Notamacropus eugenii: one gene and its partners. The protein of the gene in region 3 purifies or fractionates together with the protein of the main gene of each other region. This does not show direct contact. Links are inferred from orthologs where the notes say so. Each region holds a gene or a part of one and is shown on either strand. Other genes may lie near its edges.

What was found.
Region 1: the proteins of CUL9 (region 3) and GLMN purify together in Homo sapiens (affinity purification with mass spectrometry; 3 studies listed by BioGRID and IntAct, counting the BioPlex papers as one, with this or other methods). This does not show direct contact. The link is inferred for Notamacropus eugenii from reciprocal best matches to the Homo sapiens genes CUL9 and GLMN.
Region 2: the proteins of CUL9 (region 3) and APEX2 purify together in Homo sapiens (affinity purification with mass spectrometry; 3 studies listed by BioGRID and IntAct, counting the BioPlex papers as one, with this or other methods). This does not show direct contact. The link is inferred for Notamacropus eugenii from reciprocal best matches to the Homo sapiens genes CUL9 and APEX2.

The regions. Positions count from the first base shown.
Region 1 is NC_092873.1:503,847,727-503,858,290, reverse strand, and holds the start of GLMN (glomulin), read left to right. Parts: upstream 1-5,934; 5' UTR 5,935-5,955; intron 5,956-6,212; exon of another isoform or gene 6,213-6,317; intron 6,318-8,184; 5' UTR 8,185-8,228; coding exon 8,229-8,267; intron 8,268-9,378; coding exon 9,379-9,504; intron 9,505-10,564. Other genes in the region: putative RNA polymerase II subunit B1 CTD phosphatase RPAP2, read right to left, coding at 5,669-5,744.
Region 2 is NC_092879.1:98,122,014-98,132,286, forward strand, and holds the start of APEX2 (DNA-(apurinic or apyrimidinic site) endonuclease 2), read right to left. Parts: upstream 4,631-10,273; 5' UTR 4,529-4,630; coding exon 4,414-4,528; intron 3,865-4,413; coding exon 3,781-3,864; intron 2,399-3,780; exon of another isoform or gene 2,304-2,398; coding exon of another isoform or gene 2,255-2,303; intron 1,522-2,254; coding exon 1,341-1,521; intron 1-1,340. UniProt on the Homo sapiens protein: Functions as a weak apurinic/apyrimidinic (AP) endodeoxyribonuclease in the DNA base excision repair (BER) pathway of DNA lesions induced by oxidative and alkylating agents.
Region 3 is NC_092873.1:106,086,422-106,097,065, forward strand, and holds the start of CUL9 (cullin-9), read left to right. Parts: upstream 1-6,588; 5' UTR 6,589-6,604; coding exon 6,605-6,730; intron 6,731-7,361; coding exon 7,362-7,974; intron 7,975-8,423; coding exon 8,424-8,578; intron 8,579-8,703; coding exon 8,704-9,225; intron 9,226-10,206; coding exon 10,207-10,345; intron 10,346-10,522; coding exon 10,523-10,644. UniProt on the Homo sapiens protein: Core component of a Cul9-RING ubiquitin-protein ligase complex composed of CUL9 and RBX1. The CUL9-RBX1 complex mediates ubiquitination and subsequent degradation of BIRC5 and is required to maintain microtubule dynamics and genome integrity.

The sequences.
Region 1 (10,564 bases), about 400 Mb from region 3:
TGCCTCAGATTGAATAATGCGATTAAAGAAAATTCCCACCCACCCACCAGGGGGCCTGCCCACAGAGGGAAGCTAGATTAGGGGAGTTATTTTGTAGGAGGGTCCCAAGTTTTGTTTTGGTTTTGTTTTGGTTTTGTTTTTTTTTGCTGAGGCACTGGGTCAGAGGGTTATGCCCTCTGCCTCTGAAAAATGTATAAATACACCCAGGGTGAGGTTTTACTTTGGGGATTACTGACTGGAAGTGTTTCTTTGGCCAGAGACACACTGGGAAGCCCCCTACAGGAGCCCCCCACCCCACCCCAAACCCAGAAGTTGGTGTATGTATGTAATGGTCAGACAGTTTTAGAAGCCCTGTCTGCTGACTTTTGATTTCTCTGTTTTCTCTGAAGTTCAGGGTACTGACTTTCCCCCTGAACTGAATGATACATATGTTTGATTAAAGTAATTGTTAACCCCTCCAAAGTTGCCGTTCCTTTTATGAATGCAGATCTAAGAATCTGTGATAGCAGGCCCCCCAGTGTATATTGGGGTGCTTACTGTGACAAGGGACAGAAAGATTTTAGCATAAAGGGAGGGCAAAAACGAGGTTTTAAAAACAATAACCACTCCCCTGAAATATGGATAATCTAAGGATAGCCTCTGGTGGTCAAGGGGTTCCCAGACACCAGTGGTGTCAGTCAAACACTGACTAAGAAAACCATACATTCACATTATGCTGTGTGGCGTTTTTATTGATTTTGTTCAACATTTCCCAATTACATTTTAATCCAGTTCAGCTCTCAAGATTGTGTCCTGAAGAGTTTTGCCACATAATGTCAAGGGATGTGACAAAAGGAGGGCTCCATTATTCTTCCAGTAGAACAGAAGAACAGGGAACAGAGGGGTCATTCTGATTTTGTCTTTGTCTTCCTCCCCAACAGTGACTGCTGCATACACAGTGGGTGGTTAATAAACATGGATGAATTTAAATTTAGGTGGATACCCCAAGGAGTATTTACAGGAGAACAAAGCCAAGAGGATGAGAGAGCTTAGTGTGTGAATAAGTTGGGATGTGCACTATTAGAAGCGAATAGATCACAGAGGCATAGTCTACACTTGGATTTAAAAAAACCCAACTTCACAAGTTGCAGTAAAGTGGCTAGAGAGCTATCCAAAAAAATTTAAAGGATTTAGGGACCTGAAGGCTCAATAGGATTCCTCATGTGCAAGGTCACTGTGCTAAGGATACAAAGGTGAAGAGAACCTGAAAGAGGGCACAAGGACCATAACTTCAAGATGGTGCCATGGGAGAATCCGCTGAAGAAGTAGGAACATTCAGTCTGGAGAAGAGAACTTGGAGGTCAATGAGATCTGCTTCACATGGAAGAGGGATAGCTTTGCCTGGCCATAGGGGAGGCAGGGTGAAAACACATTTGCAACTGAAAGCTGCAGAAAGGAATCTTCAGGCTGGATGTAAGGAAAAGTCTCCTCATACTGAGATGTCGGAAAAAGAATGGGCCTCTTTTCCTCCCACACTAGAGGGCTTCAAGCAAAGGAGAAAATGCTTCCTGGCCTTTCCGATCTCCTCCAACTCTGTAAATAGCTATCTTTATTTTTCTGTTACTCAACAGTAAGACCTCACTCCTGTTAGAGCTGTTGCCTTTCTCTCCAATGCTGTTTTCACTGCCTGAAGATGCCTTTCCTTCCACCTAAGACATAACTATCCTTTAAGGTCTAATTAAAGTCTCCTTCATGAAGACTTTCTTGGCCTGCAGTTAGGAGGGGCTGAGATCAAAACTGAACTCAAGAACATCAACCTGCCTGCCTTACTTTCCTCATCTGCAAAATGTTGATAATAATGACAGCACCCAATGCCCACCTACACACCCCCCTCAATGTTGTGAAGATCAACTGAGTTAATATTTGTAAAGCACTTTGAAAACCTTAAAGCACCATATAAATAACTCTTGATCTTTCTGGAGAAGGTGGAATAGCCAGTCTCTAAAGTCTTCATCTAGCTCTTCTGGCGGATCCAAGACAATCACTGAATGACCTCAGGTCACCATTGGATTCAAAGCCCTACTCATTTCCCCCTAGATTTGATCCCCTACCACAAGCTATCCATAATTCTCTTTTCACTAAAAACAACACCAGCACAAATTCCCTAAAAGGGCAGATCACAATCAGATGTTAAGTGATTGTGGTTAAAGTGATTTACTCTTAGGTATGAATGACTTCTAGCTCAGGCTCACCAAATTCACCTAGGCCAGGCAAAAGGGCAGTTGGTTAAGCCAATTTGCAACAATCTCAAAAAAATGAATAAAGGTCCTTGCCCATCTTTTTCTTCCTATTCACAAGAATGGGTCAGCAGTGTGCCCCCCCATCCTCCCATCCTATGCTCCTTTTCAAATCTCACCTCAGACACTTGATGCTCACTAGCTGTGTGACCTTGGGCAAGTCACTTAACCCCAACCGCCTCATCCTGGGTCATCTCCAGTCATCCTGATGAATATCTGGTCACTAGACCCAGATGGCTCTGGTGAAGTGAGGGTGGTGACTTGCACAGCCCTCCCTCACTCAAAACAAAGTCAAGTGCAAGTCATGTCATTATTTCTCTGATGGCATGATCTTCTTCTGCAACGAACGATGAACACACACACAGGTCATTCTGACTCAAGATGAAAAGCTCTAATCCTCTGGGCCACTGGCTGCCCCTACCCAGAGCCAAGGCATCCTCCCCCAAAACCTCCTCATTTGGCAATGCCCTGTTAGGAAGAAGTGGAAGTAGAGGTCCTAGGAGGGAAAAAGGGTGAGAGACTGTAAGGCCCCATCACTCTTACACTCCCACACAGGATGATCCACAGATCCTGTTCTCACCCAAATCTCCTAGCCTCAAAGGCACCTCTCTACAGGTCCCTAGATGGTGGATAGAACTCACTACTGTGACTGCGATTTTGGGTGAGTCTGTGAGCTGACTTGGGCCTCTTTTGTCATCTACAAATGGAAGGAGTTAGACTCTGGGTCTCTGAGGCTCTTACAGAACTAGATCTATGATTCTACAATCTCACAGACTAGGGAAGGCAGAAAGATACCAGAGTATTCCTCAGATCGCTTCTCAAAGGGAACAGGGGTAAACTCTTAACACAGACAATCTTCTAAAGCAGATGGCATGAGAATGGGCTAGATTCCCTTTGGGAAATGGCAAGAGTCCTCTAAAGTGGGAATGTCACTCTTAGATAGTGAATGTTCTAAGGCAAGGTGGAGAACCTGTGGCCTCGAGGCCACATGAAAACAATGTTTTGTGAAGTTTGAATTCAGTCAGAGTGGCACCTGAGGACCTACAGGGCCACATGTGGCCTCAAGGCTACAGGTTCCCCTTAGAATCTAAGGGGAACCATAGTAATCTACTGTTTGATAAATCCAAAGACACAGCTTCTGGGATAAGAGCTCACTATTTCACAAACACGGCTGGGAAAACTGGAAAACAGAATGGCAGAAACTGGGCATAGACCAACATCTTATACCGTATACCAAAATAAAGTCCAAATGGGTATATGATTTAGATATAAAGTCTGATAATATAAGCAAATTAGGAGAGCACGTTTAGTTTACCTGTCAGACTTATGGAGAACAGTGGAATTTATGACCCAACAAGAGACAGAGAACATTATAAAGTGCAAAATGGATAATTGTGATTACATTAAATTGAAAAGTTCTTGCACAAAGAAAGCCAATGTAGCCAAGGTCAGGAGTGACACAAAAAATTAGAAAATTAGGAAAACTAGGAAAAAATTTTTACAACCAGTATCTCTGAAAAAGGCCTCATTGTTAAAATATATAGAGAAATGAGTCAAATTTATAACAATACAAGTCATTCCCCAATTGATAAATGGTCAAAGGATATGAACAGGTAGTTTTCCAAGGAAGAAATTAAAGCTAAAGTCAAATGAAAAAATGCTCTAAATCACTATTGATTAGAGAAATGCAAATCAAAACAACTCTGAGGTACCACATCACACCCATCAGATTGGCTAACATGACAAAACAGGAAAATTATAAATGCTGGGGAAGATGTGGGAAAATTGCAACACTAATTCATTGCTGGTAAAGTTGTGAACTCATCCAACCATTCCGGAAAGCAATTTGGAAGTACACTCAAAGGGTTATAAAAATGTGCATACCCTTTGACCCAGCAATACCACTTCTAGAGCTGTATACCAAAGACATCATAAAAATGAGAAAAGGACTTGCATGCACAAAAATATTTATAGCAGCTCAGCTCTTTTTGTGGTGGCCAAGAACTGGCAATGGAGGGGATACCCATCACCTGGGGAATGGATGAACAAGCTGTGGTACATGAATGTAATGGAACGCTATTGTGCTATAAGAGATGGTGAGCAGGAGGACTTCAGAAAAACCTGTGAAGACTGAACTGATGCTGAGTGAGGAGAGGAGAGCCAGGAGAACGTTACACACAGTAACAGCCACCTTGTTCAATGACCCACTTTGGTTGACTTAGCTCTTCTCAGTAATGCCAGGACCTAAAACAACTCCAAAAGCCTCATGATGGAAAATGCCGTCCACATCCAGAGAAAGAACTGTGGAGTCTGAAAGCAGATGGAAGCAGACGATTTTCTCTATTTTTGTTTTGTTTTGTTTTGTTTCTCATGGTTCCTTCCATTCGTTCTAATTCTTCTATACAATATGAGTGATGTGACAATACGCTTAACAAGAATGTATATGGAGACCCTCTATCGGATTGCAAGCTGTCTTGGGGAGGGGGGAAGGGAAGGAGAGAAAATTTAAAACTTATAGAAGTGAATGCTGAAGACTAAACACAAATAATTTAATTTATGTTTAAAAAAAGAATCTAAGGAGACCAGAGTCTTCTAAAGAGGCAGAGGGGAGAAATGGTCTGGATCACCCTGTCTCTAAGGGGGGGTCCCCATCCTCTAAGGGGGTTCCCTTCTCTCTAAGGGGGGTCCCCATCCTCTAAGGGGGTCCCCATCCGCTAAGGGGATTCCCTTCTCTCTAACGGGGGTCCCCATCCTCTAAGGGGGTTCTCATCTCTCTAAGGGGGTTCCCTTCTCTCTAAGGGGGTCCCCATCCTCTAAGGGGGTTCTCATCTCTCTAAGGGGGTTCCCTTCTCTCTAAGGGGGGTCCCCATCCTCTAAGGGGGGTCCCCATCCTCTAAGGGGGTCCCCATCCTCTAAGGGGATTCCCTTCTCTCTAACGGGGGTCCCCATCCTCTAAGGGGGTTCCCTTCTCTCTAAGGGGGTCCCCATCCTCTAAGGGGGTTCTCATCTCTCTAAGGGGGTTCCCTTCTCTCTAAGGGGGGGGTCCCCATCCGCTAAGGGGATTCCCTTCTCTCTAACGGGGGTCCCCATCCTCTAAGGGGGTTCCCTTCTCTCTAAGGGGGTCCCCATCCTCTAAGGGGGTTCTCATCTCTCTAAGGGGGTTCCCTTCTCTCTAAGGGGGGGTCCCCATCCTCTAAGGGGGTTCTCATCTCTCTAAGGGGGTTCCCTTCTTTCTAAGGGGGGATCCCCATCCTGAAGAGGGGTAGCCGGGCCGCCTGATTAGCCCCACCTCCCACAAGGGGCAGGCCCCTCTACCTCGGCGCCTCGCCCCAGTCCCTCGTGGGGCGGCGCGGGTGGCGTGACGTGACGGGCCCCTGGGCCCCAGCTCTTACCCGCGCCTTTGCGAGCGCCTCGGGAGCTCCTGCTCCGGGGGCCGCCACGGGCCCGTGGCTTCGGCTGGTCCTCCATGTCGGCCGCAGCAGCTCCTCCTCCTTCTCCCAGAGCCGCCCGGGACGCGTGTCAGGGGCGGGGCCTCCGTTCGTCCGCCATGATCGCCCCGCCCCCGGCTCCTCCTCCTTCCCCGGAGCCACCTGGGATGGGCTCGGGGGGCGGGGCCTTAGCTCCTCCTCCATGACGACATCACAGGCTCCTCCTACTTCTTCCTTCCAGAGCCTGGGAGGTGAGGCAGGGGGCGGGGTCAGGGCGGGACTTCAGCTCCTTAACCATGGACTGTCTCACCGAGGGCTCCACCTCCTCCCTGCGCCGTGGGAGGTGAGATGTGGGGCAGGATGGGGGCGGGGTCAGAGGCAGGGCCTCAATCCTCCATGACGACAGCGCCACCGACTCCTCCTTCTCCTCCTCCTCCTATCCTCAGCCTGAGACCTGCTGCGCAGATGGGGGCGGGATCCGGGGCGGGGCCTGGGTCCTTCCGCCATTGGTCCTCGCGCCGGGCAGGGCGGGGCGGGAGGCGGGGAGGGGCGGGGCCTCGGCCAGGCTGAGCGGAGGAGGAGGCCCAGGCCTGCCTGGAGAGGGTCGGGGCAGGTAGGCGGCTGCGGCGGCGGTCTGGTTGCTGGGGAGAGCTCGGGGCAGGGCTTTAGCCCCAGGCCCGCGGCCTGAGCTGGGGAGTCACCGGACTCGATCCAGGCCGCGGCCCAGCCCAGGGTGCCTAGGGGGTGGAGGGGGGCCCTACACGCGGCTTGAATCTCGGCTAAGCCACCTGGCCCCCAGCGGAGAGAGCGGGTAGGCCGGGAGACGGGGCTCGTCCGGTGGGACAGCCTCCGAGCCCCTCCCCCCAGCCCCCGAGGACGAGCACTGCTCAGCGCACTCTTCGGGCCCAGCACACAGTAGGCACTTAGTTCACAGGCGTCAGTTTCAGGAGTTGGTCAATGTCACCGATGCCCAGCAGCCAAGCACGTGCAGGGGGAGCTTCGTGAACTTGCTTCTGGTCTGTCTTCTCCCAGTGATCCTCGATTGATTGATTGATTGACTGATTGACTTCCCACAAGTAGGAGAGGCTTCTTTTAAAAGCCATCTATCCATTCGATTTCCCTCCGTCCCAGCAAGGGGTGAAATTACTTAAAGCTCTCCGGTCTCAGTTTCCCTCTCTGTAAACTGAGGGAATTGGCCGTCAGTATAGGTGATGCTGAGGTGGAGTGATGGGGTGATCAGGAGAGTAGGTGATGATAGATTCCCTGAAGGGCTAGTTGCATTTTTTTTTGTCTAAGTATCCTCAGAGCTTAGCCCCGAGGCCCCGTAATCCCTTAAGGAAGGCTTGTTGGATTGAGTGCTGTGGCTTCAGAATCCCAGAGCAGCGCTATCCCAGTGCTGATGGATGAGAAGGTTGACACAGGGGATTTCTAGGGCCTCTTCTGCACCTAGACTATGACCCTGTAAGTGGGGATGCTCTGATGCCCGTGACATTAGAATAGTGGAATCTCCAATAGAATTGTAGAAGTGTAGAATCCAAGAATGATCAAAGAGTTCCCCCCCAGTCCCTATCAGTAGAGCAGGGCTTCTTAAATATTTTCTACTAGGGATGCCCAGTGCTTCTTAAACTGTGTGTCAGGACCCCATATGGGTTCGCTAACAGAGAACCAGAGTTCTGAATTAGACCTGGGATTTCTCAGTATTTGGAGTGATTTTTGCATTACAAAATGCTTACCCTTTCCTCTGGAAAGTAAAGACATCTCAGAAAAAAGTAGGCATATGTAAATGTGGAACTGGAAAACTTAGAAAATACATGAAAAGTTCATTTTTTAAAATACCAACTATTGTTTTATCATCTTTAATATTTCCATAAAAAGACTGCTAAAGTTCAGCGATGATTTTTACTAAACTCTTAAAATTATTAGATTCTTCATAATAATACTTAATTCAGAAGTATATTTATATACCTACTCCTTAATATAATAATAAAATATCTTCATCAGTTAATTGCAGTGTGGTATATATAGCACTGAGCAGTCAAACTCAAGGCCAGAGGCTCTTGCAAAACTCAAGAGTGAGGCTGAAAAAGAGTAAAATATAATTGGGAAATGTTTAACAAAATAAAGAAAAATACAATATAATATAAATAATGTTAATTTGTGGTTTTCTAATGTGGCTGGCTGGGAGGGATTCATTTCTATTTGAGTTTGACACCACTGACATTGAGTATAGAGTCATGCTCAATTTGGAGTCAAGTCTCCTATCTCAACTACGTGATAATGGTCAAATCACTTACCCTTCAACATCCTCAGTTTCCTGACCTATAAAGTGGAAATAATAATAAACCCACTATCTATCTCACAAGTTGTTGTAACAATCAAATAATTAACAAATATATTTATAGTGTATATACATATATATATAAAGTCCTTTGTAAATCTTAAAGCAGGTTATATAAATTGAGCAGTTATTTTCTTTTTAGTGTTTCTCTACAGTAAAACTGAAAGAAAAGTCAAAAACTCAGGAATGGCTGTGGAAGAACTTCAGTCCATAGTAAAGAGATGTGTAAGTAATTTTCTTTTTTTAATTTTTAATTTATTTTATTGCAGTCATAGCAACTTATGAAGATGGTCTAGAATAAGGAACAGAGGGGCTGCCATCTGTGTCAGAGAAGGGACTCCACATCCATAAAACCAGAGAGTCCTGACATAGCTCAAAAAAATTTGAGAAATGGATCTACTTACTTTCTTTTTTAAAAAATTAATTTATTTGTTTTCAGTTTTCAATAATCACTTCCATGAGTCTTAAATTTTCTCTCCCTCTGCTCTCCCTCCCCAAGATGGCATACAATCTTTGGCATGCAATCTTATACGGGTTCTACATGTACATTCTTATTAAATCATTTTCACATTAGTCATGTTACATAGATAAATTAAAATGAATGGGAGAAAAAACAAAACAAAACAAAACATAACACAAGAGAAAATATTCTGCTTCAGTCTGTCTTCCAATTCCATAATTCTTTGTCTGGATGTGGATGGCATTTTCCATGAGTCCTTTGGAAATGTTTTAGGTCCTTACATTGCTGTGAAGGGCTTAGTCTGTCAGAAACAATCATCGCACACTGTGGCTGTTACTGTGTTACTGTGTCCTGGTTCTGTTCATTTCACTCAGCATCAGTTCATATAAGTCTTTCCAGGCCACTCTGAAGTCTTCCTGTTCATCATTTCTTATGGCACAATAGTATTCCATCACATTCATATACTACAACTTGTTCAGAAGTAATTTTCTTTGAACAAAAATAAACCTCTCCCTTCCACATTGTTATTTGTTTGTACCAGAGAATGCTTTGTATGCAAGGCTGGACGTTTGGGTTTTCTCTTGGAGCAGTGTTGCTTTTTTGCCCCCACTATGAATAAATACTCCCAGGGGTGGGAGAAGGATAGTGGAGATACCAGACACACATTGCTTCTCTAGCTTCCTAAGTTTTTCTGAATTTTAGTACATTGGATTCTAAGATAGTTTATTCGGATACTGTTTAGGAAAGTCATTAATTCTGCCCATGTGTTTGTACTATGGGTGTAGATCAAGACTAAACAATCAAGTCATAATTTAATTTATTATATAATCACGTAAATGAATGCTAACTTGTCGGGTTTTGTTGTTGTTTCTAAAGCAAATCCTAGAAGAGGAGAACTTCAAAGAGGAAGATTTTGGTCTCTTTCAGTTAGCAGGCCAAAAGTGTTTAGAAGAAGGGCACGTTGCTCAGGTATTAGACATTTTAGAAAATGAAAAGAACAAGGTAAGTGTTGTCACTTACTATCATGTGTAACTTTTTATACTTTATTAGATAGAGTGCAGCCGACGGATACCCTGGATAACCCTGCCCAGATTACTAAATGAGCATTGCATGAGCGTTCTATTCTTAGTGTACATCTAAATAGCTAATACCATTGGGATACTTAGCATAATAGCTTAAGCCTAACCTTCCAAGCGGTTGCACAAATTCACATCTTGGTAAACAGTGTTAAAAATGGGATTCAGCTGAATTTTTTTTTTCCGTTTGCCAAGTAGAACTCTTTTAGTAATGATTTTAAAACACTTTGTACTGTGTACTTCATTAAAAAAAATTAAACAATTAAGAGCGAGGGTTCATGCCTATGGTTTTTTTTAACAAAATTGGTGGCATTTAGGTAGAGACTTGGATTAATTTAAAGCTTGGGCTGTATTCGTACAGTTTTCACTATACAAAATATAGCCCAACTCCAATGGCCTGACTTCAGGGACCCAGACAAACAATAAATTAATATTATACTCTTTTATTCATTTTAAAGAAAGTCACTTGTGGGATAAAAACAAAATACTGTTTATGAAAAAATTTTGAAAGAACAAGGCACAACTCTAACCAAAACAAGAGTGAGTAAATCCAATGCAAAGGAAATCTCAGTCCAGGTGAAGAACTAGGAGAACTTTGAGGAGGGAGACATCACTTTCACTGGGGGTAGAGGGTTTCAGGAGATGTTTCTTGGAGGAGATGGTTCTTGATTTGTACCTCGGAGGAAGGGAAGATTGAATGGTAGGAGAGGAAGAGTCTGTTTCAGACATGGAGGAATATTGTGAACATAGTCACAGTAGGAAAGGGTAGGATGACAATGAGGAGATAAGAATCAGTCTCATTTGGTCTGAGGGTGTGACTGTAAAGGGATCTTCAATGTGTCTGGAAAGGTAGGTTCAGGAGGATCTCAGAAAATACCAGTGTTAGGAGTTCATCTCTAGTTGGCAGTGGAGAGGCACCAAAGGTTTTTTGAGTGGTTGATTGACATCATCAGAATAGAGCATTAGGAAGATTACTAGGGCAGCAG
Region 2 (10,273 bases), on a different chromosome or scaffold from region 3:
ACTACCGATTAGAGAAAAGCAAATTCAAACAGCTCTGAGATACCACTTCACACCCATGAGACTGGCTAATATGACAGAAAAGGAAAATGATAAATGCTGGAGGGACTGTGGAAAAATTGGGACACTAATGCACTATTGGTAGAGTTGCAAACTGATCCAACCATTGTGGAGAACAATTTGGAATTATGCCCAAAGGCTATAAAACTGTGTATACCCATTCACCCAGTTGTATCCCAAAGAGATCAAAGAAAAAGGAAAAGGACCTGTATGTACAAAAATATTTATAGCAGCTCTTTTTCTGGTGGCAAAGAATTGGAAACTGAGGGAATACTCATCCATTGGGGAATGGCTAAATAAGTTGTGGTACACGATTGTGATAGAATACTATTGTGCTATAAGAAGTGCCAAGCATGATGCTCTCAGAAAAACCTGGCAAGTGAAATGAGTAGAGCCAGAACACTGCACATAGTAATGGCAATACCGTATGATGATCAACTATGAATAACTTAGTTCTTCTCAATGATCCAAGACAATTCCAAAAGACTCATGATGAAAAATGCTCTCCACATCTACAGTGAGAACTGATAGAGTCTGAGTGAAGACTGAAGACTGAAATATAAGCACTTTCTTCATTTTTCTTACTTTTTTTCAATATGGTTAATATTTTATGGAAATGTTTTTGCATGATCTTACACGTGTAACTGATGTCACATTTCTTGCCTTCTTAATGGGTGGTGGAGGGTGGGAGGGAGAGAATTTAGAACTCAAAATTTTTAAAAATGAAGCTAAAAATAAATAAATAATACATTTTTGGGGGAGGGAGAAATTACTATAAAGGAAAAACAAAAAACATCAATAAAATTTTGTAAAATTATATCTGAATGTAAAGAAAATAATATTTTAAAAATCCCAGCCCAGAATTGTACAGGAGAAATGGTATAAGCAGAGAGATGTATGCCAAGGAAAGAGCAGTACCCACTGACAAGATGGCATGCTCCCCTGGGTTTCTGACATATTATGTAGTGGAAAGTCTCTAGCACATTGGGTGGACCTCCTGTGTAGAAATGGGAGGAGATCATGGATAAAAGTAGTCCAGGATGGGCTGCAATCTGCACAGGTGAAGGGAAAGCCCACACTGCTGAGATGCATCAAAGAAATGAAACTTGGAAGATGGCTTTTTATTCATCAGGACCAGTTATCAAATGCTTCAATTCCCTTCCTCCCACAATGGCCCATTTAATCCAAGAGGTAGCAGGTATTTAGTACTGACCCTGATGCCACTAAGGGAAGCATAAGGAAAAGAGGCCTCAGCTGCAGGTCAGGAAAGTGCCAGTGTTTACCGTATCTGGTGCTGAGTGAGGACTGCCCGGCCTTCATTGTCCAGAGCCCGTAACTCATCTTCAGTGAACTCGTCTGTGTTCCCGTAGGATCCCACGGCACCCTGGTGAGTGGTCAGTAGGCTGGTCAGGCCTTCTTCTGCTGCCCTTGGAGTGGCACTATTTTTACAGAAGGTGGCCACACCTGGAGGGGTGGGGGAACAACAGGCAGACACAGAAAGGATGACAAAAGAGATTAAGGGACCCCAGGATCTCCAAGCTTGGAAGTCATTAGCTCCGAGTTCATCATTTGGGGTCTTTGGAGGGGGCAGAGCTCAGGAAGGGGGCAGGAGAGGCAGGCAATCAATCAACATTAAGTACTAGGCATCCTGTACTGTGCTGAGTGCTGAGGAGAGAGGCAAAACCAGCCCTAGCCCTCAAGAACCTTATTCCAGTGCGAGAAACATACAAGATACATACAGAGTAGAGAGAAGGTATCTTGAGAGAGGAAAACTCTAGAGTCAGCTAGGTGTCAGAGTGGATAAATAGTGTTAGGACTGGAGTCAGGAAGATCTGAGTTCAAATCCTGCCTCCGGATATTTACTAGCTCTGTGACCCTGGGCAACTCACTTCACCTCTGTTTGCCTCAGTTTACTCATCTATAAAATGGGGAAAATAATAGTATCTCCCCCTCAGGGTACTTGTGAGAACCAAAGTAAACAATATTCGTAAAGTCCTTGGTCCAGTGCCTGCATGCAGTAGGTGCTTAATAAATGTTTGTCCCTTTCCCTAGCCCTTCGGGACATCAGGAAAGGTTTCCTGCAGAAAGCAGTATTTGAACTGAGTCTTGAGGGAAGCCAGGGATTTAAAGAGGAAGAGGCAGGAGGCCAAACACGTGTTCCAAGCCCTCTGGGCCTTCTGTGCCCACAAGGCCTCACCTGTGGCAGTGGGGGAGGGAGGGAGGAGAGGCTTCTTCTGGAGGCACATCCAGTCAGAATTTCTCCGATTTCATTGTTTTGTGTTCTTTCCATTTACATTGTGGTAGGTCAACTCCTTAATTTTGTGGAATGGGAAATCCTAGGCTAGAGAAGGAAAAGGACTTGGCCAAGGCCTCACAACAGTAAACCTAGATTCGCTATGAGGATTCCAATCTCTGTCCTCGGCCTTCAGCCTGCCCTCTTTGGCATTCCACACACTTCCATTCCACACACCGCTGGGCCTTTTTTTTTTCTGTACAGAAAGAACCACCAGCTGTTCTCATCCATTACTGGACTTTGTCTTATTCTCTTGTGCTTTAAGGCACATGGAGCTCCTTCCTCACACCTGTGGGCCAGGTAGGATTCACTATCCCCATTTTATAGAGGGGTAAGGTGAAGCTCAGAGGAAGGACAGCTCTTGACCAGGATTATATAGTTCATACCAGAGATTCTCAAAGTGTTATCTGAGGACCTGAGACAGTCCCTGAAGTCAAAACTTTTCATAATAATAAGATGTTTTCATTTCTAATACAGCAACTATTGATAGCTCCAAAAACAAACTTTGACGGAGGGTTGCACTTGAGGACCTAGAGGGCCACATGTGGCCTCAAGGCTGCAGGTTCCCCACCCCTGATAATCTAACCCCTTCATCTTGTAACAAGGGAAATTCAAATCCAGAGAAGGGAAGAAGCTTTTCTCAAATGATGTAACTACCAGGTAGCAGGGCTAGGAGGCAAACCCAGGTTAGCAAGGTGGGAAAGTAGATATAGGACTGGACTTCAACTAAGGAAGACCTGAGTTCAAATCCAGACTTAGACATTTCCTAGCTGTTTGACCCTGAACAAGTCAGTGAACCATTCTGTGCCGTAGTTTCCCTAACTGTACTTCCCTGGGTTGTTGTGAAGATTAAATGAGAGGATATTTGTAAAGAGCTAGCAATTATTGTCTAAGCATGTCGACTGAGATGTTTTGAGGAGGAAAGTGAATTATTATAAGCCATACTGTCCTACTGCTATTCTAACCAAGGACCTCCATAGGATTTGGAGGTGAAAGGGGCCTTAAAAATCATCTAGTTGTACCCTCTTCATTTCAGGGGAGGAAATAGGCCCAGGAAAGGGTCTTTGTGTCACAGACTTAAAGACAATCTAATTCAATCTTCTAATTCTACAGACAGGGAAAGTGAGCCCCAGAACGGGGAAGGGATTTGGGTCACAGAATATCAAAAGTGGAAAGGGACTTAAAAAAAAATTCAGTCCAAAGTTCCTCATTTTTCAGAGGGTAAAAACATCCCTGAAAAGGGTCATGTCATTCAGATCAGAAAAAATTCAACGTAGATTTTTGATTATTACCCCAACTGACATTTTGTTTCCCTCCAATGATTAAACTTTTAAAGCCATTTATGGTAGAAAACCTAGGTTCCCCAAAGTCCAAGTATATACATCCAGGCCTGCCCAGTCCCCCAGATCTCCCCCCACCCTCCCACACACCTGAGTAGCCACTTCGAACTCGGCTGAAGCTGAAGTAGGAGCTGTAGCCCTCCACAATGGCCAAGGGCTCTTCCAGGAGGTCCCCTGGGGGACAGAGAAGGAAAGTCCAGGTTGGAGGAGATCGGCTCCTGTGGGCAGGGCTCCCTGCAGGGGGGCCAGAGGACCTAAGCCCCTAAAGCCAACCCAGAGGCAGCCCTGAAAACATCTGAAGGAGTTGGGGGCACCTTGTGGAATAGGGTCAGCACCGGGGGGCTGGGGAAGAGAAGGAAGGAGTTCTCTGGGGGGAGAGAGAGTCCTGGGAGGGCCAGCCTAGAGGGGGTGTCAGTGCGCTTCTAGAAGAGGGGGGAGTAGGGGGATCCTCTATGGGGAGGGAGGAAGTGGCGGGGGGGGGGGGGGGGGGGCGCAGTGTGTGTGGAGGAGGGTGTCCTCTAGAGGGCAAGCTGGTCCTGGGGGGAAGGCGATTTTGGAGCAGAAGGTGCCCTTTGGGGGCAGGGAAGGGATGGAAGGGAGGGGTCCTGTCCTGGGGGGCGGGCCTCCTGGGGCGGAGCTGGGCTTTCCACGGGAGGGGGTGGGAGCGGGGGTCAGGGTTGGGAGGGGGGCTCGGGGCGGAGGGGGGCACGCCTCGATGCTCACGAGTGACTCGGGTCTCCTGCAGGCAGATCACATCGGCCCCCAGGGAGTCGAGCAGGCGCTTCAGGGCCTCAGGCGATCGCCGGATCCCATTAATGTTCCAGCTCACCAGCCGCATGTCGGCCGGCGCGCCTAGCGGGGCGGGCCGGGGCGGGCTCTGCCCTTCGGGGAGGGGAGCTCCGCTGGCTGCCGGGAGGGCGCAGGCGCAGGCGCAGGCGCAGGCGCGCTCTGAGGCGGACCTCCTTTGGCGGGAGGGCGAGGGGCGGAGCAGGGGCGGGGAGGAGCAGGGGCGGGGCGGGGCGGGCTCTACCCTTCGGGGAGGGGAGCTCCGCTGGCTGCCGGGAGGGCGCAGGCGCAGGCGCAGGCGCGCTCTGAGGCGGGCCTCCTTTGGCGGGAGGGCGAGGGGCGGAGCAGGGGAGGGGCGGGGCGGATAGGGGCGGGGTGGAGGCGGGGCGGAGGCGGGGCGGGGCGGAGGCGGGGCGGGGCGGGGCAGATCGGATCGGCTGCCCTCCTCGGTTTACCCTCTTTCTCCTAGAGCTCGGATCCCTGGTCTGCAACCTCGGAGCCCAGTGACCCCAACATCTTCTTTTATCATTGGTGAAAACTGAGGCTCAGAACGCGGAAGGAACTTCCCTATAATATTAGTTGCCAGTGTTATGGCTCTCTCAAGTTTACCAAGCACTTTATGCGCATGCTCTCATTTGAGGTGTGCCTTGAGGGTCTGTTCCCCTCCCTGGGCCTCTGAGTGTCCTCCTCCGTTAATGAGGAGCTTGGCCCCCTGGCCTCAGAGTCCCCTTGCAGCTCTAGGTGCTGTAACTCCTCTGGAGCTGTCCTGACGTCTGCCCAGAGGCCTGCACCTTTCCCAGTCACCTGCTGCCTTCACCTCCCCACGTGGGCGTTTCCCAGCATCCTGCTGGGTGCCTTTATGTCCAGTGAATGAAGCCGAAAGGTTTGTTGAATGTTGCACCTGGAAGTATCTTAGAGATCACGCAGCTAGTCCAAGCCTGTATTTTACAGTGGGGAAAGTGAGGCCTGGGGAGAGGCAGGGACCTGCTCAAGGAACTGCATTTCTTGTCTCATACATTCGTTCCTCAGCTGTCTCATTGAATAACATCTGTCAGGATTCAGCTGCACATCTAAACTACTTGGCTCCCATCTACTAGGTGAGCACATGCAGAGTGCTGGATTTGGGAGTCAGGAAGACTTGAGTTCAAATCCAACCTCAGACACCTAGTAGCTGTGTGATACTGTATAAGTCCAGGGTCTCATAGCTTCAGTTTCCTCACCTGTAAAATGGGGATAATATAGTACCTAACTCCTAGGGTTGCTGTAAGGATTAAATCGATGTAAAGCACTTTGCAAACTTCAAATTAGCTATTGTTATTACAAGTGCCTTCCTTCACCAAAGCACCTTGTGTTTACTCTGTACATAATCATATATGGTATCTCCCTCCTTAAGAAAGGCTGTGACATTTTAGTCAGCATTTCAAGTACCTAGCATACGGCTTGGCACATAGTGGGTATCTAAGAAATGCTTCCTGATTGCCTGCAAATAAGTCTAGTTCTTGATTTCATCTGTACTTTTTACATGACAAATCATGCCACTCCGAAGCCCTGGAATATGCAAACAAATGAGCTGCCTCAATGACTTTTTCTGCATTGTGTTACATACTTTTTGTGTTTCGTAGGGGCAGCTGGGTGGCACTGCAAGGGACAAAGCCCTGGGCCTGGAGTCAGAAAGATTCATCTTCTTTTTATTTAGATCTGGCCTTGGACTCTTACTAGCTGTGTGACCCTGAGCAAGTCACTTAGCCCTATTTGCCTCGGTTCCTCATCTGTAAAATGGGGGCACACTGGAGAAGGAAATAGTAAAGCACTCCAATATCTTTGCCAAGAAAAACCCAAATGGGGTCACAAAGAGTTGGACATGACTCAACAGCAAAGTAATTCATTATGACGATGGTTTTCCTAATGTTGAACCCTAGGTATCTCACTTAGTCATAATCAATTTTTAAAAATATTTTTCTGTGTTCTCTTTCCTATTTAAAACTTTTATATTCACCCTCCCTCAATACATTTAGTGTCTGGCACCCAGTCTTCCTCTTTCATCTAATGACTCTGGCCTCCTGGACATTCCATGAAGAGGCCCCTCCATCCCTCAGCTCCAGGCACTTTCTCTGGCTGTCTCCCACGTCTAGAAGGCACTTCCTCCTCATCTCCTACTGACTTTCCCCTGCTCCGGGAAGCCTTCTGTACCCCTTTCATTCCAGTGCCTTGCCTCTGAGATTTCTTATTTATCCTGCCTACACTTGGTTTATACAGAGTTGTTGGCATGTTGTCTCCCCCACTAGATAGGGAACTCCTTGAGGGCAAGGACTGTCTTTTGCCTTTCTTTGTATCCCCAGTGCTAAGTACAGTGCCTAGCATATGGTAGGTGTATAATAAATACATATAGACTGACCGATGGAAAATTTGACAAGCACTTTGGGTAAAGATCTCATTTATTTAACCTGGGCCCCACCTGAATGTCTAAGACTGACGGCACAAGGTAACATTTATCCTTGGGGATACCTATTAAATTGTTCCAGGTTGAAGGAAGGGTAGTACAAGATAAAAAACAAAAAGGTATTGTGTGTTTTTTAAAGAAAGAAGAGTTGCTAATTTGGATGCTAATAAGAAAGTATTAGGGGCAGCTACATGGTACAATGGATTGAGCTCCAGCTCTGGAGTTAGAAAGACTTGAGTTCAAATTTGGCTTCACACACTTCCTAGCTATGTGACCCTGGGCAAGTCACTTTGATGAGGGCTGGAAGGTAGGGTATGAGACCCCCGAAAAGATCAGAGTACCAGGGGCAGGTTGCCTGGGATGAATTCGTGGACTCAAGCATTATTGAGGTTGAAGTAAAGATTTATTACACTGTTCAGAGGGCAAGAGTTCTTAGGGAATCTGCAACCTTAGAGGGGTACAGGTAATGTTTATATTGGATATTCAATAGTAAAATATGTGCCAAACATGCTAACTAGGTAACTCAGGGCGGGATTATGGCGTGGTTAGTTCTTAAAGGAACATGCACTTCTAGTATCTACTTACTGCACAGCTACTTTACCCAGAGTTCATCAGCAAATAGCCCAAGGTGGGAGGTGGGGGAGAGCAGCTACATGGAGGTGTTGTTTTAGACCTGAAAAGTCACTAAGTCAACTAAAGGTCAGGACTGACTACAGAACACCAGGTTTCTCTCATCAACATCTTGTTAGACAAGATACATGAAAGGGAGTATACATATGTCTAAGTCTAGGATACCTATGATTGGTCAGTAAGTGGTAAATGTTTTTATGACCCAGGACACAGTTGGTTCAAACTAATAAGTTCTATACATGCATCTGGCTACCATAGCAGGAAGGGAAATAAAGGTTGTGTCCCTGGGCTGGGGACAAACTGCCTGGGATGGTTTTGAGGCTAGAGAGAAATGTGATTTTAAATTGGGACCCAAGCTCCCCATCAACTTCACCCTGTTTGCCTCAGTTACTCATTTGTACAATGCATGGGAGAAGGAAATGGCAAACTACTCTTGTATTTCTGCCAAGAAAACCCCAAATGGCATCATGGAGAGTCAGACCCCACTAAAAACAAGTGAGTATCAAAGGAAAGCATTAAAAGACAGTATGAGCTAATGCAGGGCTTGGGAAAGCCACATGTATCCTTCTAGGTCCTCAGGTGCGGCCTTTTGATTGAGACCAAAATTTACAGAACAAATCTTTTAGGAAGGGGATTTGTTCTGTGGCTGCACCTGAGGAGCTAGAGGGACACATGGGGTGGCTGGGTCCCCACCCTTGGCGTACTGGATGGCCCTGGAGTCCCCCAAAGCGCTTCCTAGGACTTCTTTTTCTCTGTGATGATTGCTTGCCCTGGTCTCTCTCCTCTAGTTCCGCAGCACAGATTGTCCTCTTAGTGTCTAAGGCCCCCCCAGACTCCCAAGTTACCCCTGTTGGCAACCTCACAGTCAAGCTCCATGGGGCCATTTCTCCATCCACATGTCTTAGAGGTGGCCCCTTCTCTCCACCCCCATGGCCCCACCCTAATTTAGGCCTTTAGCACTCTAGCCCAAACTATCCGAACTGGTCCTCTCTCCCCTATAACCCCCATCTTCTCATAGCCCACCCATCAGGGCCTACACCTGTCCACACACACCTGTCCCTCTCCTGAAGCCTGGGGGTGGGGGTGGGGGTGGGGGCTGCAGGTGGGCTCCAGCACATGCATGCCCTGTGGAGCCTGAGGACACCCCCCACCCCGACCCCAGCCAAAGGGCACAGTCACAGTCTTCGACCAACTACCATGGCCCTTTGCTCCTCACCCTGTTCCCAGGAAGCCCTGGCGCCAGTCCTTGTTGGGGACCCTCCTCCCCTAAGGCAACATGTTGGGGGAGCTCCTGCTCAGCTGTGCCTACATTTGGGCAGGTTGGGGTGGGGGAGGGGAAGGGAGGCACCCCCCCCACCCACCCCACGTCCACTTATGCTGTGTTAGTCTTGTTTTGGGGGACGCCCCATGGAATGTGACCATTTAGGGATGGCTCAGCCAGGCTTCCTTCCTGGAACGGCCCGCAGCTTTTGGCTTAGAAATGGAACCTGGGAGAGTAAATCCCAGCAGCCTAACCTTGGGAAAGAATTTCCCTGCGTTTTTCTCGGGAAAAGTATTTCTCCTCCTCTTGGTTAATGCGTGAGTTGGGAGGACACGTTCTTGGTCTTTCTGGCACACTGGTAAACTCCATAAGCTTGGTCAGAGCCCTAACCAGGGTTCTGACTTACTTTGCTGAGCTCTGCACCTGCGCTTATGCAGAAGAAAACTTAGGTTTTAACCTCTGGTTCTGAGGCTCAAGTTCTTGAGCTTGCTAGGGTTGGCATGGTTCGGGTTTCACTCCTTTGGCTGTGCTCCTGGTCCTGGATAGGAATTCTTGGCAGCTTGATTTCTGGTTTGACCACTGGGTCTAGTTCAGTGGCCCTGGTCTGCTCAAAACACTGCAGAGATCCCTTTTTTGGTGTGATTTTGCTGCTTATCTTGGAATTTAAGAGTACACATCTGGCATAGACCTCAATGTCATATGGCAGATAGGTCAGAAATAACCTGGGGATCCCATTCTTACTGCTTAATTATCTGTTTCATAGTGTTGCAGCTACCAACAACAAAGCTTTTCTTTGGTGTGACATAAAAAATTTTATTTTGAAGGGTTCAGTGAACTATGATGTGGCAAAAATTTGGTTCCAAAATAATTTAGCTCTTGGATCCTCCAGATTTTTGGTCCAGTTATTCCTGATTAAAAACCCAATATTTCAAAATATGGGATCTGGTCAGCCCATTTCTTCTAAAGACACTGATTTGGTCTGTGTCCTAGCTAATTGGAAAAAAAATTCTTCCAAGGAGCCCAAGATGTTTAAGACCCAGTTTCAAACCTTTGTGAAAACATTTGGCCAGGATAACTTCTGGGACCAAATATCTTTGACCCTGGGAAGGACATTTTAAATTGAAAAGCTAGCAGAAGTTCAAGCTCATTGATGAAGCTTCATATCTGAATGAACTCTATGTAATGTCTTTAATTACTGCAATTCTGATAGTAAACTCCCCTTGCCAAAAACCAGACACTCCTAGTGACCATTTGATTGGATTTTCGGTGAGAAATAAGGTATTAAAATGAGCAAGAGAAACTACCAAGTGTTCCAAAAGACAGTCTGAACTGAGGCTTCTTGATTTGGGCCAGGTTGTGATTGAAGACATAAAGACAGACCAGAAAAAAAAGGAAATCTTTTTCTTGGTTTGGAGAAATTTATGGAATTGGAAATGAATTAGAAAATCAATTTGTAACTGAAATAT
Region 3 (10,644 bases):
GCCAACAAAACTAAAGAGCCCTGTAATCTGCTTTCTCCCTGCTGTCTTTCCCAAATCTGGGGTGCTGGAGTGGGAGCCACCATCCTGGGATTTCCCACAAAACTTGGTTGGTGGGGCAGATGGGAAATACAGGATGGGTTGCAAGGATGGGTCACGGCTGGTGTCTGGGACTAGGAATGCCTCTCAGAGTCAGGGATTGGGGGAGTTAGGGACTCAGGTCTGTAATGTGCCCAGCCTCTCTTCTCTGAATCGCAGCCATGTCCTCTTAGGACCCACCTTGCCTATCCTTGGGAAGAGAGCTTTATTCCCATCATCTCCCCAAAGAAGGCAAGATCCAGTGAGATCAGGTTAAGTGTGCTTATAATGTTTATGTGAGCGCAGCCTTGTAAGAACATGCGTGCTTCAGGGATGAGATGGCATTTCTTGTGTGGTGACCCTTAGCGTTCCCCCTCCTCTGGCGGCTCTGGGTGTGTGAATGTGTGGGTGTGTGGGTGTGTGTATGTGTGGTGAGTGTGTGGGGCGTGTTTGAGTGTCAGTGGTTTCTACATCCCTGGGATGCTGACCCAGGAATTCATGGACATGATCACAGTCCTATGTACAGAGCTTTCTTTTGTATTAAAAAAAAAAATACTCTTTCAATAAATGTATCATTTTGTGCACAGAATCTGGGGTTTTGGTTGTTTTTTTCCTAGCAGGAAAGCCACACTCTAGACCTTTCAAATGAAAGGTGCTAGGTACAAGGGGTTGGTTCTGTTTTTTTCCTTTTAAAAATTAATATCCTTTCTTTTTATAGGCCAATTTCCCAGTATATCCCTTCAATTCCCATAGAGCCATCCAGTGTAACAATAAAAAAAGCGGAAGAGAAAAAGACAATACGAATCAAACCACATCAGCCAGGTATGAGATAAATAGTCTTCCATATTCACAGTCCCTTACCTCTGCAAAGAAGGGAAGAAGTACAGTAAATTCTTGTTTCTGTGGCCAAGCTTGGTCATAATTTCCCAATATTAAATTTGTTTTGTTGGCAAAAAAAAGGCTCCAATACTGAGGGAGGCCCTCACGTATCACTTATTACTCCTCTGGAAGAAAATTTTAGGGGTCAGTGGCTGGAATTGAGGTCAATGTAGGTTTCCTGGGTTCAGGGAGCTGGTGGTACAGTGGACAGAGGATCTGAGTTTAAATTTGATCTTAAAGATACTATTTGATCCTAGGCAAGTTAACATAACTGCCTCTATTTCTTTCTACCACTCAGAGTAGATGTAAGGATCAAATGAGAAAATATTTGTAAAAAGTGTTTAGCACAGAGCCTAGTGCATAGTAGGCATTATGTAAATGCCTATTGCCATCTTTTATACTCCCCTGAAGTAGAAGGAGGGAATAGTAAATTTAAGAGGGTAGATTCAGAAGTAGCATTTGGGGGGCAAGTAAGTGTTGGAGAGGACTCTTAAGATTTCTAGGACCAATGAAAGAGTATCTCAGAATGTTTCAAAGGATCCAAGATGAAATGTAGATTGCAACACAGCCATATCTTCCTATCTTGTGATGCTTGTCCCATGGAAGATCTGCTTCAGATGTGACAGACCTTACAACTCTCAAAATATTTAGAGATACGGGTACAGTATATGAGCTGTCCCTTATTCTCACTACAACACTAGCTCACCTTCCTGGTCTTATATGTTCTGATAACATTTTTACACCACTTTTTTTTTTGCACTGAAGTCATCTCTGGTAACATGTTGCAGCCTAATTGGACCCAGTATGTATCTTTCCATTGCCTCTCTGGTCTCCCAGTTCTTTGGAGATTGTAGTATCCAGACTACTGTTTAGGGTCATTGAGAATGGATGAGGACTCAGAAGACCTAGGGTTCAGAAAGTGAATGCAGATAAAGGCTCAGAAATGAAGCCAAACCAGTGAAGATGGGTTCTTCACCCCCCCCCCCCCCCCCCGACCCCCACCTCCCTGCCAGCATACTGGAACCTGAAGGTCTGGACCTGTGATTTAATCTATGTGGGAACTCTCCTCATCAATGCAAACCAGCATATACAGCCTTAGCTACCCAGAGCACTGAAACACGAAGGGAAGAGAAGCATGGTGTCTACAGTATTCCAGTACCATGCTAAGTGTTTTATAAATCTCATTTGATCCTCACAACAATCCTGGGAGGTAGGTGCTGTTATTACCCCCATCTTACAAATGGGAAAACTGAGGCAAATAAGTGAAGTGACTTACTCAAGCTCACACAGTAAGCATTTGAGGTCAGATTTGAACTTGGGTCTTCCTGACTCCAAGCCCAGCTCTCTATCTATCCACTGCACCATTTAGCTGCCTGATTAAATGACTTGACCACTCTCACATAGCTGGTTTTTGTCAGAGACACAATTTGAACCCAGTCAATCAACAATGCATACTATATACCAGGTAGCAGTAATTCCAACTAAACATCTGGCTTCCAGGTTTTTCAAAGCATTGTCTTCCACGGAGATTAATGTGAGACAGGAAGGACCAGTTGTCGTTCAGTCCTATCCAACTCTTTGTGATCCCATTTGGGGTTTTCTTGACAAACCACTGGAGTGGCTTGTCATTTTCTTCTCCAGCTGATTTGACAGATGAGGAAACTGAGGCAGACAGGGTTAAGTGACTTGCCCAAGGTTACTAAGTAAGTATGCTAAATAAGTATCTGAGACCAGATCTGAACTCATGAAGATACATCTTGCTTCAGCTGTGCCAAACAGGCACATGAGAACAATTTGTTCCAACGGCCATGAAAGCAGCTGAAGCAAACGTTATGGAGTACTCAGAGTCTGGTCAAACATCAATAACACCAAAATCATCCACTGCATGCCAGGGCCATCGCCAGTGATCCTGACTTCTGTTCTGCTAATGGATAAGAGTTTACCTACTTTGTACAACTCTATCTCACTCAAATCCAATTCACCAGCAAGTCAAGATATCGCCTGTAACATCATCGATGGGTCCTCTTCAAAAACAAAGAATGAACAACAGCTAAGTACCAGGTACTGTGCTAGTAGATGGGGATCCAAAGACAAAAATGAGAGACTCCTTAAGGAACATTATAGGTGGGAATCAACATGGCACATGTATATGGAAGCAAACAAAATCTATACCAAACATTCGTACATATTCAAAACACACAGTAATGAAGGGGAGAGAAGAGCATTCCCAGTAGGATCTTAAAATGCCTCCCATGGGAAGTGTCACTTGAGCCAGGGATTCTAAGACAGGAAGGTGAGAAAGGAGAGTTCGTTTTAGGTAGATGGTATAGCCTGTGCAAAGGGTCATGTAGGGGAAGTGAAATACCATACATATGGAATGCCAAGAAGGTCAGTTTGGATTGTAGTTTGTGAAGGGGAGAGTAACGAAAGCCTGGAAAGTAAGCTGGATACAGATTTGCAAATGGTTTCGTACCCAAGAGAGGCTTTTGTATTCTATTCCAAAGATGATAGGGATGCCTTCCTGACTCCAAAGTGGCCCTCTATCCACCACACTGTGCTGCCTTTCAGAAATATGTTGCCAAATTTGCTACAACTAAGTTAAAATTCTTGAGTATTGACTTTTAACCAACACAGAAAACAGTTTTGTTAAGGGGTAAGAAATCTCTCTGCTGGAGTTTTAAGCAGCTAATTGGTATTGGTCATCCTGTTTCAGTGCATACAATTTCTCTATTCCAGGATTTTTGCATTAAGATCGATGCAAATCATTGATGTAATTCATCATGAAAAGAAAATGTGTATATAATGAGAAAGTGCTTTACACTGTAATCTGATATTTTTTGGGAAAAGTTATTACATTTAGAACTATTCTGAAGCTGCCAATTAAAAAAAAATTTTGCAGATTTCCAAATAAATGAAGAAAAAAATATGTTGCAAACAACAGAGGCCATATCTTGGAAAATCTTCTGTCCTGGAAACCTGGAATGCTATTTCAAGAAAGCTCCATTGCCTTCTACCCCCATTCCCTTCTGGTTCTGGAATCATGAACCATAATCGAATTAACTCTGGCATTATTCCTGGATGGAATGTGTCAAGATACTCTCCTTACCATCCCTATAATCTTTTCAGACCAAAGTACTCCTTCCTTGGCCACCACCCCCCAAACCCCATATGAGCTGTCTGTCCCATTAAAATGATAGCTCATATCTTCAGGCTTAGCACAATGCTTGGCACATATTCCTTAATCAATGCTTTTTATTCATTTTTTTCCCCCTTGAATAATGTGTCAGAAAATTGGCTGCAAACCAAACAAACCCATGTGTTTGAAGGACAGAGCTTCAGGGAAGAGAATGTCAGAAATAAGTTTCAGGAGAATAAAGATGAAGAAGGACTCTAAAAAAAAAAAAGTCTATAAAGTGAGGATTCCTGAGGTGAGAGAGAAAGGATTCTGTATATAAGGACTCAAAAATAAGGCCCAAAATAAGTGACATGGATGCGAGTGTGTGTCAAATATAAGTTCCAGGAAGAAAGGCTGGATAAGGATTCAGAAATTGTGTCACAGAACTGAGAAGGCCTTAGAACCCAGGACAGAATAGAGCCCAGGGAATAAGGATGAAGAAGGATAAAGAAAAAAAAGTTAACAGAAATAAAAAGGAGGTGGATTTTGGGTTCAAAAATAGGGCCCAGGATTCATACTGTTTGAGTCAGGATTACCACTACTGGGCACATATACTCCAAGAAGGTCAAAGATGGGAAAAAGTCCAATATTGACTAAATTATTCAAAGGATATTCAAAAAAACCCCAAAAAACCAACCCATACAAACAAAAACAAAATAGGAAACACTGGGTGCCAACGGACTGGATGAGGAGATTGAACAAATTGTGGTATAGGCAGACCATGGAATATTATTGCACCAAAAGGAATGATGACGGGAATTTGGAGAAACTTGAGAAGACTCAGGAACTGATGCAAAGAAAGCAGACACATAGTATACATAGTTACACATAGTAACTCCAATGTTAAAGAATGTAACACTAAAAGATAGCAGAATTCAGCGGAAAGATGATGAAACATTTTTTGCGTCAAAGGAAAACTCTATTTCAAGAAAACTCCACGGCCTTCTAGCCCCATTCCCTTCTGGTTCTGGAACCGTGAACCACAGTCAAATGAGCTCTGGCACTGGCCCTAGATGGAACGTGTCAAGATACTCTCATGGCCTCACTTAGCGTCCCTGTCATCTTCCCTGAACGAAGCGCTCCTTCCTGGCCACCCCTCCCCCACATGTACTGTCTTCTCCTTTAGAATGAAAGGAGGCTGGACTCTTTCAGATCTGGTTAAAGTGCTACTTTGTTTCATTTAACCGTCTGGTAGGAGAGGGAGGTCTTCATGTGTCAGGGTGGGTAAAGGTCATGGGGACACGGCAGAAAAAAAATTTAATTCAAATGTTTATTATTTTAAGATTAAACATTCTTAAATTTTAAATAATGGTTGAAAATTTAAAAACAAATTTAAAAAATAATTTAAAATTTAAAAAATTCCTAAAAAATTTAAAAATACTGATTTAGATGGAAAAAAAAAACAAGAAACGAGAGCGCGGATAAGGGCTCAGAAATAGGGACATGGAAGTAAAGTTGGATAAAGGCTCAGGCAGAGGATAGGGGAAGGAGTTCAGCCCAAGTTCCCCGCAGGGCGCTCCTGCCACCTGGGCCACCTGGGAAAAGCGCCCCGCGCCTGGCCCCCGTGACGTCATCGCCTCCCCCGCCGCGAGCCCCCCGGCGCTGGAGTCGCCGCACCAGCCCGGTAGAAGTCGGGAGAGGCTAGGCACCGCCCTATCCGGAGGAGGGCGCTGCGCACGCGCACAGCTCTCCGCCTCCGCTTCGGCGCTACCCACCCTTCTCCCCTCCGAGGCCTTCTGCCTGGCTTCCGTAGAAGCCGGACAGTGAGCGCAGGTGCAGTAGAGGACCCGGAAGTGAGGGTGCCCGCTGACTGAGGCGGCCGGGTCCGGCGGGACCGTCTAGTCGGAGCCGGCAAAGGGGGCGCGCGGGGCGGCGGGAGGTGAGAGGAGCGTGCGCACGGGGTGGGGGTCCCCTGTCTCTCTCCATCCCCTTCCACTTCGAACCCTCCCCCGCCGCCCCAAGCCGCGCGGCCCCAGGAGTCCACTCCCTGTACCAACGGTCACCCCGCCCTGGCCCTCCCCCTCACGCCGTCTCCTCCCCCCACGTACGCCCCCCCGTCCGACCCTCCCCCACAAAGCCTCCCCTTCCCCCTTCAGGCACCTCCTGCCCAAACTCTTTCCCCAGCCCCTCTCGGACCCTCCTCCCTCGCCCGATCACCCTCTCACACGCTTGCTAGCCTGCCCCGGGCGCCCTCCGTGACCCCCGCGGCGCTTTACTCACCCTGGCCATGCCCTCGCCCCGCTGTCCGCCCCCGGACCCGACTCGCCCCGCTTGTTGCCGGCCCCCGGCGCTCCTCGTCTCCGCAGCCTCCCACGTGCTGCGGCCCCCCAGCCATCCTCGAGACCCCCCCACCCTGGTGACCCCCTGTTGTTTGTAGCCCTCCCCCTCACACGTACCCATGACCACCCCCCCCCCGCGGGCATGTGATTCTGCCCTGGCTGGCCTGAAGGGTGGAATGAATGGTGTAGGAGAGGCATGAGAGGACAGCCCTTTGGAAGGAGTTGTCCGAGCGGGCATGGTGAGGGCTGTTCAGTGATGGTCACCTTCCATGTCTGTGCCCCGCACTTCCACACGTCCTGGATTCTGCCACTTTTTGTCCAGGTCTGCGTGCTCTAAAATGTTCCCTTGTGATTATCTTCCTGTATCATCCCCCAGATACTAATTTTGGTTTAGGTACTTACCATTGTGACACCAGGCTGATCTGGCCTGTAACCTCTTCTTTCTACTGAAACTGTTGTTCCTTCCTTTTTTTGATCACTTTTCACTTTCAGTTCTCCCTGAGTCTCTTCTCCAGATTGTACCAACCATCTTCCTTGTCTCTTTTATTTCCAAAATGACCTCTAAAGTCCTTTTAGGCCCTAAATCTATGACCCATCATTTTAGTACTGCTCATCAGTATCATCGTTCTCATCGTGCCTCACTTCACTTCCTTGTCTTCTCAAATCAAATGCCTGCTTTGCCTTCCATACTGTTCTAGTCCTAGTCTCTTCATGTCTGCCATCTGATGTTCTCCTGCAACTTCCATCTATCCCCACAACAGCCCCAGTTCCTTTTGTCTATGTCCCCACCCTGATCACTGGTCCTGGGCTCCTCTTTCCTCTGTCCTAATATGATCAGTGAATTCTGTCCACAACAGAATTCTTCCACATCCAACCTTCTTCCACATCCCATAGATGCTTATTTGACAACGGGTACTTTTTCTCATTCTGCTCCTTTTCCTCCTCTGTTCTAGGTGCCCAGGATGGTGGGAGAACGAAGAAGCAGAGATTTGCTGGTGCCCCTGGGCCCACGACTGCAGGCATACCCTGAAGAACTGCTCCGGCAGCGCCAGGGTCACGATGGGCATCCAGAGTACTTGATCCGTTGGACTGTCCTTCAGCGTGGGAAGGAGGGTGGCATAGGCAGTGGCAGTTCTTCAGAAGGCAAGGCAGAGCATATCCTCATGTGGCTCTCAGCCCCGGAGGTCTATGCCAGCTGTCCCATGCTGCTTGGTGAACGAGCCCCAGCCAAGGGACCGCAGCATGAACCAGTGGGGAGCGCGGGCACCTTTCCCCGGGATGCCGGGGGGCTGGATGAAGCCTCTCTGGGAGAGATGGCCACAGATGTCCGAGGACTGGTGCGTCGAGCTGCCCGGCAGCTGGATGGTGGGGGGGGCTCCAGTCCTGCCGCCTCTGTGCTACACACCATCCACGTGCTCAGCGCCTATGCCAGCATCGGACCCCTTGCTGGTGTCTTCAGGGAGACAGGAGCCTTGGACCTGCTCATGCACATGCTGGGCAACCCTGAGCCACAGATTCGCAGGAGCGCTGGAAAGATGCTACAGGCCTTGGCAGCCCATGATGCTGGTGAGGGCCAGAGGGAAAGAAAAGGGAAGCAGGAAAGGAGGTGGGACAACTTGCAAAAAGAGGATGTCAGGACCTTTTGGTTTCATGAGAGTGAAAGTGATGTCAGCCTATGCCCAGTTGCAGTGAACTTAGAGCTACAGGTTCACACCATTGATGAAAAAGAGATGTGAACAGAAAGAGAGAGTTTCATAGAGTTTCACTCTCTTTCATAGAGTTTAGAACTTGCTGGCCAGATGTCAGTACAGATGGTTATCATATAAGGCATAGTCACTTCTCAGAGCACTTTGGTCCCCCTGTCAGCCCCTTTGATGGGAAAGGACCTGGTTCTGCTGGAGGGTGGAAGAGAGTGAGTGTAAGAGAGGCAGATGATAAGAGTTGAGGAGTGGGCAGAAGGTGATAAGTGGAGTGGGTTCCCTGGGACAGGATGCAGAGCAGGGCTTGTATTTCAGGGAGCAGGGCCCATGTGCTCCTGTCACTGAGCCAGCAGGATGGCATCGAACAGCACATGGACTTTGATAGCCGCTCCACTCTGTTGGAGCTGTTTGCAGAGACCACATCTTCTGAAGAGCACTGCATGGCCTTTGAAGGGATCCACCTGCCCCAGGTAACCTAAGGGAGTCGGGAAAAGGGCTGTGGGCCGAGTTTTTATCTCCCTGTCTGTTGGCAGTAGGGTTAGGAGAAGCAAAGTGGGGAGATGGTTAAACTGAGGCCAGGGTGTTTATCCTGCAGATCCCTGGAAAGCTGCTCTTCTCCTTAGTGAAACGTTACTTGTGTGTCACATCCCTCCTGGACCAGCTAAGTAGCAGCGTGGAGCCAGGGTCTGGGGAGTGGGGGAACCGGTGCTCCCCTAACAAGGCCTCCAGTGTGGAGAAGAGCCGTGGACAGAGGGAATTGGAGTTCAGCATGGCCATGGGCAACCTGATTTCAGAATTGGTTCGGGGTATGGGATGGGACCGGGGCCCAGGGAGGCAGCCTGCATCCCCCCCTCGGCCTGCCCGATCTATCTTTCAGCCCCGATCATCTGTGCCAAGCACCATCCTCCCAACCCTGCTTACCCCTGCCTCCCCAAGGAGGCCAAGCCGGGCCTTCAGACCACGGTCTGAGTTCTCGAGCCTGAGTGGCTATGCTGACTACGTTCAGGAGACATTGCAGCCAGGGATGCGTGTTCGAATGCTGGAGGATTATGAGGAGATCAGTGCTGGGGACCAAGGAGAGTTCCGCCAGAGCAACAATGGAATGCCCCCTGTACAGGTATGTGTGAGTGAGTTGGAGGATAGGTAGAATAGCATCCCTGAGAAAGACAGAAAGTAGGGGAAGGTCAGAGAGTGACTGTATCCCTACCTCACCCTCTGGGGAGGGAGAATGGCCATTTGGAGAAGATTTTATCACTAAGAGAGCAGATAGACGATTCCTGATAAGTGAAAAGGAGACAGAGATGTCTAAGGATACCATTGCCCACATTCTTTTCTCATTTGGCAGAGGAGAGGAATACATGTTTGTGTCCTTTTTGTCTCTTTCCCCCAGCCTCTACTCTAGAGAGAAATTGTCTAAGCCCTGGCTGTATGACTGTCATGGAGTCTCCATGTGGAAGGGGCCTAAAATGCAGGGGCTAGAGTCAAGAAGTTGTTATTTTTGTTGTTTGGGTGTTTCAATCCAGTCTTTCTCTTCATGACCCCATGTGGGGTTTTCTTGGCAAAGATAAGTGGAGTGGTTTGCCATTTCCTTCTCCAGCTCATTTGGCAGATGAGGAAACTGAGGCAAGGGGGGGTGAAGTGACTTGACCAGGGTCACTCAACTAGTAAGTGCTGGAGGCTGGATTTGAATTCATGAAGATAAGTCTTCCTGATTCTAAGCTCAGGGCCCTATCTACTGTGCTGCCTGTCTGCCCAGCTCCCTCTTTTCTGAAGTCAGGAAGACCTGAGTTCAAATCCAGCTTTAGACACTCACTAGCTGTGTGACCCTGGGCAAGTCACTTAACCTCTTTTCTCAGTTTCCTCATCTATAAGATAGGGATAAATAATAGCCTGTACCTCTCAGAGCTTTTGAGAGGACTTACATGAAGTAATAATTGTGAAGCATTTAGTATAGTGCTTGGCACATAGGAAGTTTTATATAAATGTTAGTTATTATCATGATCATTAATTATTATGTGACCCAGGTCTAGGCCTCCAGCTGAGGTTGTTCCCCGGACTCAGGTGACTGAACTTTCTCCCTCCCCTCTTCATGCCCCAGGTGCTGTGGCAGTCAACAGGCCGCACATACTGGGTACACTGGCACATGGTGGAGATTTTGGGTCCTGTAACTGAGGACAAAGTTGCTGCTGAGCCAGAGAAAGGAACAGGGGGCAGTGGGTCCCAAGCCCCAGGTATAGGTGAGCTTGGGGAGGAAATCACATAGGTTCCTTGAGAAGTGGTACATGGGGGCTTGTCTGGGTAGAGCTACCATGACCAAAGAGAGATGCTGCCTCTGACCCTCAGCTGCCCCGAATGGGTCCAGTATCACATTCTCTGGGACAGTTGGTCTATCCCTTCATGTCTTATGCCCACAGTGCCTCCTTCCTTAGATTGGAAGCCCCTTGGGGGGTTGTATGCTGTGCCGTACCTTAAACCTGAGGCTCAGAGCAGCACAGAGTCTGGATGCCTGAGCCAGGCTGAGTGGTGGGAGCTGCTT